Sus scrofa: one gene and its partner. The protein of the gene in region 1 purifies or fractionates together with the protein of each later gene. This does not show direct contact. Links are inferred from orthologs where the notes say so. Each region holds a gene or a part of one and is shown on either strand. Other genes may lie near its edges. The genes, in order: KDM5B and PAX9.

The links.
Region 2: the proteins of KDM5B (region 1) and PAX9 purify together in Homo sapiens (affinity purification with western blotting, with the first as the bait; 3 studies listed by BioGRID). This does not show direct contact. The link is inferred for Sus scrofa from reciprocal best matches to the Homo sapiens genes KDM5B and PAX9.

Annotation. Positions count from the first base shown.
Region 1 is NC_010452.4:24,758,465-24,762,293, forward strand, and holds part of KDM5B (lysine-specific demethylase 5B), read right to left. Parts: intron 2,780-3,829; coding exon 2,598-2,779; intron 2,170-2,597; coding exon 2,045-2,169; intron 956-2,044; coding exon 805-955; intron 711-804; coding exon 596-710; intron 208-595; coding exon 1-207. UniProt on the Homo sapiens protein: Histone demethylase that demethylates 'Lys-4' of histone H3, thereby playing a central role in histone code. Does not demethylate histone H3 'Lys-9' or H3 'Lys-27'. Demethylates trimethylated, dimethylated and monomethylated H3 'Lys-4'.
Region 2 is NC_010449.5:63,326,754-63,329,641, forward strand, and holds part of PAX9 (paired box protein Pax-9), read right to left. Parts: intron 1,148-2,888; coding exon 893-1,147; 3' UTR 1-892. UniProt on the Homo sapiens protein: Transcription factor required for normal development of thymus, parathyroid glands, ultimobranchial bodies, teeth, skeletal elements of skull and larynx as well as distal limbs.

The DNA of each region.
Region 1 (3,829 bases):
GGAGCTGGGGTCTAAGCAAGCTTGCTGCACCTCTTCCAGCCAATGGGCCTGCTCCAGACGGGTACGCATCTCAGCAAGTTGTGGAAGCTCAACATCAAACTCAAAGCTGACATCTAGCAAATCTTGCAGCTCAGCAGCACTGGGCATCTCCTCAGAGAGTAATTTCTGGCTATGCTGTTGGAAATCTTCTACACGATTCAAGAGATCCTAAAAGAACAGATTGTTGCATCAAAACAGTAATTTCTGTAACTGGCTTCTTATATGCTTAGAATTGTCAATGCATATTCTACATGACCCTCTTCCATCTCACTTGATTTTAGCAACAATACGGGTAAACAGCATAATACATAAGCCAATTGACAGCTAAAACAAGTGACTATAACAGACATACCAACTGTGAGGAGTAGCTGGTGGTCAATTTCCAGGTAAAAATTTCTGACTTTCTCCTCTGCACGCATGTTATAATCTCTTTATACACGCATACCACTCAATATGTTATTAGAAACATTTGCCAATAATGTACAAATTAACCACCCAAAATGATAAGTGAGCTTATTTACAAAACATAAAGCAGCAGCACCTCCCATCCAGTTACCTTCAGCAGTGGAGTCTGGCTAAGAACACAGGGAAGAGCATACAGCTGTGTCACAAACTGCCGGAGCTCATTCACCGTCAGCTGGTTGTGGGATTTCCCTCCCCCAGATCGGTATCTAGAGACAAAGGCCCAAGAAGCCAAGTGAGAACACACCCACCCTTCCCAGTCTGGGCTGTGGGAGAGCCCTAACCAGTCCGTGCAGTACCCACCTCGTCTGCCTTTTGCCGTTAAGCAGCTGCTGTGCGACAGAGGCACACTTCTCAGCATCCTGTGTGACTAAGCGGAGGTGACGTAAAAGATCGTTGTCTGGGAATTTCTTCATCTCAGATTCTTCAATCAAAGCCTTAAAGCTGACAAGGCCTAGGGATAAAGAAAAGGTCCCCGTTTTTGTGATCATTATGTATGAAATACAGGGGGGAGGGGTTTGCAAATATCAGTTCTTATCTATAGATATTTGCAATATTCCACCTCTTTAATAAATGTGTTCATTTGATGGGGGAGGTGTACTGAGGATGGAGTGCTTTAAAAAGTGCCTAGACTAAATACGGCTGATGGATTATACCGATGTCAATCTCCTGGTTACGATACTGAAACTTAGGGTATAACCTTTGACAAGGTTATACCTTGTCAAAACAGATCAAATCCAGATCTTAGTGTGGCTGGAACCACTTCTTCCTCCTGCATTTTACTCTGCCACTGGCAGGGAACTAGTAGGCTCAGAGCCACTGATACTGCACCCTCTCCTAAATGAGAAAGCCACAGAAAGGAAAGCAAATGAAAATACTTTGTGGAAAGAAATGGGAAGGCAAGCAGTGACTTTGAAAGGTAGTAACAAGAAACAGACTTTGACCTTGATTAGAATGAAGTACAGTAATAAACCAGCATTTCATAAACTCTTAATGGCATGCTGCCTTTGTGATGAGATCTATTTTAAGAAACAAAAAGGAGTTCCCGTTGTGGCTCAGCAGAAGCAAATCTGACTAATAGTCATGAGGACACAGGTTTGATCCCCGGCCTCCATCAGTGGGTTAAGGATCCGGTGTTTCCCTGAGCTGTGGTGTAGGTGGCAGACGAGGCTCAGATCTGGTTTTGCTGTGGCTGGAGGGTAGGCTGCAATCTGACTGCTACCCTGGGAACCTCCACATGCTGTGGGTGTGGCCCTTAAAAAACAAACAAACAGAACAAAAACCTTTACTAAGGTTCCATATAAAATGTAAAATACTTTTTTGTTCCTGAGACAAAGAGGTATAAAGGTTATTATGTTTTATAACAATACCTCATCCTGTACAAGGGCATCCACCTCATCCACTCTTGACTTTAAAACCTCTGCTAACACTCTGAATCTGGCTGAACAATTTCAAGGAACTGGTTTGCTAACTTTTGGTTGGCTATATGATCATCAGTCCCAATGTGCCAATCACCAAACCACACTTTCTATATATTACATACTTTTCTTTTTATTGATCTTTGCCTCCAAAGCTTCATTCACATTCAAGGCCCATTCATTGTAAGATTCAGCTCGAAGCTTCAATGCATTCATCATGGGATAGAGGTCATCTAGAGTGTATCTATACCTGGAAACAGAAGAGTAGACTTAGCTTTGAGATATGTGGGTTTGGAGGAAATCAGACATTTCATTCTCAATGTCACTGAGCCTTTATTAAGAATTTAGTGTTTTCAGGAGTTCCCGTCATGGCACAGTGGTTAATGAATCCAACTAGGAACCATGAGGTTTTGGGTTCAATCCCTGGCCTTGCTCAGTAGGTTAAGGATCCGGCATGGCCGTGAGATGTGGTGTAGGTCGCAGACGCAGCTCGGATCCCATGTTGCTGTGGCTCTGGTGTAGGCCGGCAGCAACAGCTCCAATTAGACCCCTAGTCTGGGAACCTCCATGTGCCCCGGTGTGGCCCTAGAAAAGGCAAAAAGACAAAAAATAATAATAATAAAATACCCCCCCAAAAAATTTTGTTTTCATAGAAAAAAAATCATTTTTCTTACTCACCGCAGTTTATATTTATAAGGAGGACAGGAACATAATTCTTTTACATGATGCAGGCAAACAAGCAGGCCAGGTTTACAAGAACAGGAGATGGCAGACATGAAGCAAGTAGTTTTGCATTTTACACACTGACGCTCGTCATCTGGCAACAGCTCAAAGTCCATTCTTTCTGAATCAATTACTCCCTAGAATAAAGTGTACTTTAGAGCTCTACAAAGCATAATACAACCCACCAGCTCCCAAAACAAACATGCATAGCTGAGTTTTGTTTTGGCCACCCTATGGCATATGGAGTTCTTGGGCCAGGGATCAGATCCGAGCCAGTCACCACCTAAAGCCACAGATGTGGCAATGCTGAATCCTTAACCCACTGTGCTGGGCCTGAGGTCAAACCTTCATCTTGGAGTTCCCATCGTGGCTCAGTGGTTAATGAATCCGACTAGGTACCATGAGGTTGCAGGTTCGATCCCTGGCGTTGCTCAGTGGGTTAAGGATCCGGCATTGCCATGAGCTGTAGTGTAGATGGCAGATGCGGCTCGGATCCTGCATTGCTGTGGCTCTGGTGTAGGCCAGCAGCTATGGCTCCGATTTGACCCCTAGCCTGGGAACCTTCATATGCCGCGAGAGCGGCCCAAGAAATGGCAAAAAGACAAAAAAAAAACCAAAACGAACAAAAAAACAAACAAAAAAACCCCTCATCTCAGCGCTCCCAAGATCCCACTGATTATTCCATTGTGCCACAGCAGGAACTCCTTGTTTTAAATTTTTTAAGAGCCTCACCAAAATAGAGACTGTGTGACTTAAAATGTGTTGATCGGAGCTCCTGTTGCGGCTCAATGGTAACACACCCAACTAGAATCCATGAGGATAAGGGTTCGATCCGTGGTCCTCCTGCTCAGTGGGTTAAGGATCTAGCATTGCTGTAGCTGTGGTGTAGGCCAATGGCTGCAGTTACAATTTGACCCCTAGCCTGAGAACTTCCATGTGCCCCAAGTGTACCCCTAAAAAGACAAAATAAAATTTAAAAAAAGAAAAGAAAAGAAAATATGTGGACCTGTCAAATGCGGGCAAGTTAACCTACTTCATTCGTGACTAGGGCAACCCCTCTGGACAAGGTAGGCCTTTATGTTTGGCATTTTGATCTGAGTATACAAAGTTCTTTTTTGTTTTTTTGTCTCTTGTCTTTTGCACCCGTGGCATATGGAGGTTCCCAGGCTAAGGGTCTAACTGGTGCT
Region 2 (2,888 bases), on another chromosome or scaffold:
CCTCTGCTGTAGAAAGAAAATGTCCTTCATGCGATGTTGAAGCCTTCACTGCATACACAAAATCTGGGGCAAGTCCAGGTCCAGGGGCCTGAGCAGCCCACCACCAAACAGAGACAAAGACGTTGCCAGAAAGTCACCTTTGCAAAAAGAAAGGAAAAAAATAGACAGGGGCGGGGGGGGGGGGGGGATATCCCATGGAATGAAAACGCAAATGCACCATCCAGAGTCCATATTTACAAACTAATAGAAAATATAAACATTATTGTATTTGGAACCAATCAAAACACCAGGAGGAGCTAAATTCAGATATTGCTTCAGTTATACATGTATTTTCCAACAAAATAGGTCACCTGTTAAAAATAAACAAAGGATCACTCAAAAAATGAGTTATTGATTGGTTTCCTAGTAATGGATTACAGCTTATTTTGTTAAGCTTTTTGATTAGAGGGTGTAGCATAACTTTTTTTCTATACATATTTTATTGATTTTGCAGAATCTCAACAATTGCACGTTTCAGAAGTTCAGGTTGATTTAGAATAAATATACACGTGTGGTTTTACCAAAGACTCGTTTTAAAAGTTCCTTAAGCCCTTTGAGGGGTGCAGGTTTCTTCACTACGTTAGAACAGTGTGTGGGCAATACAAATGTCTCATTCAATCCTTAACATTGCTTTTGTTTTCAAATCCTAAAGTCGTGTCAGGTTTTCTGTGAGAGAGAAGTTATGGCAAGAAATATTTAAGTGTCATCAGCACAAAGGATGTGAGTCCGTAAAGCCAGCTCTTGAGGCAGGAGGGTTGGAGGGCAGAGGGGTGGGATCCGAGACCAGGGAAGAGGGGGAGGGTGAGCGGAGAAGGGGGGACTCGGGTGCAGCTGCAGCAGACGGAATTTCCCATCAGAGTGCGGAAGCCGTGACAGAGTGGCTACCTTCTCGGGCTGCCTGCATTCCCTTGAACGCCAGCGACGCGGGAATGTCACAGTTGTGGGGGGAGAGTGGGGTGCCACTGGCATGTTGCCACCCATGTCCAGCAACATAACCAGAAGGAGCAGCACTGTAGGTCATGTAAGGCGACACTTGGGCCGGGGTGGGATAAGGAGCCATGCTGGATGCTGACACAAAACTGCTTACAGCTGGGAGACCATTTGGTGCCTAAGAGGAGTAGGAAAAGAGAAGAGGTGAGAATAATCACGTTATAGTGGTTGACATTTCACGAGTTCTTAGAAAGAGGCAGAATGTGAGTTCTGAGGAGGAACTAACAATATTCTGACTCTGCTTTCCAATTTTTAAAAAATAATTTGTCTATATTCTAAACGCATTCACAGTCTTGCTACTTAAAACATATTCGTTCCACAGAGGTTTTTTTAGGAGGCTACAAACAAAATTCAGTGTTTGCATTGCTGTTTGGCCTATGGAAGGAAATGTAAAGTGAGGAAAGAATTAATGGTGACTAAATACTCTTAGAATCCATTTAGCTATCTTTCTGCCTTTGTTAACCTTGCCACACTTCAGTTTTGTTTGGCTCTTTTGTTGAGAAGGGCCTGGTTGGTGTAGCTTTCATTTCCAGTAAAGAAGGGCACAGAGTGTGGGCTGTCACTTTAGAAACTCAAAATGAGCATGACCTTTGTCAAATAAAACATGATGTCTATTTTTAGACATCTTAGACATCATGTTGAAAATGCCTGTTGGACAAAGGACATGCAAAATCAGGGAGTTTGTCTGGTAAGTTTTTTTTTTTTTAATGAAAATGGGGGTGTTTTCTCCAGAGCTATTTTGTCAAAGAGGAAACTGTCTATCAGAATACTAAGGAATTGCATATGCATGGTTTTGAGGTTAGAAAACTTGCTTGCAAAGTTTTAGGGCCCTGTGATGTAAATTTTTAGGAGCCACATGGATAAATCTCTTTAAATGAATTTAAATGTAATATCTTAGTTTGCAAATAAGATGCAGCAACTCTGGCAGGCAAATCTGCCTAGAAGCCAGTGCTCTCTCGCATTCCAATAAATTATAGTTGGTATTGTTACTATTAACAACACCAAAACACCCTGATTTCTAATCCTGATTCTGTTGTGAATACTCAGCGCCTTTCTTCAAATAACTTAATTTTCTCTTCCTCAATTTCTTGTTTAGAAATAAAAGACATTCCTGTTTCCTAGTAGTGATATGAATAAATAAACATATCACATATACTTCCTAATGGAAGTATAATGTAAACAATAGAAATACTATTAGTAAAACAGATTTAATGCTTAGAGGTAAGAAAAGCAGACATATGTTAGATACTTTTTCCAATTCAGTTGCAACGAAGAAATTGTTTTCTAGTTTAATTCATTTGGTTATTATTTTCCTTTGCATGTCTATGAGAATGCAGGGGGTGGGGGGGTCTCAAAAATTATTTTCTCAATTGGTAATGTATGGAGTTAGAATATATATATGTATGTGATTTAACACTGCTTGTGGATTTCCAACAAAACAAAAATAAAAGTAGTGTTAACTTTGTGTAGTTGGTCTACAAGAACACACACCTCATTTTCTTTGAGTGCTTGTTCTTTAAAAAATAGGGAAGGGGAAAGGAAACAGGTTTCTTAAACCTGTCCCAGATCCAAGAAATTTCCGTCATATTTTGTCGAATAATAAACTGAATTATCATATTGATAAAATTGTAGCTCATTATAACCTATTGAGTTTATAATAATTACAAGGTAATATATAATCAGTACAATGTTCAATTGAAATTAAAATGTTACAAAGGGTGATGCTGTATTTTTTAACAAAGAAGCCATTGCACATCACTGTTGAATATAAATGAAATCTTATCTTCTTTTTATACAAAAGAATATAGATTAAGGAGTTTAACCATTTACCATAGGGCGATCAGTAAGTCTACATCCAT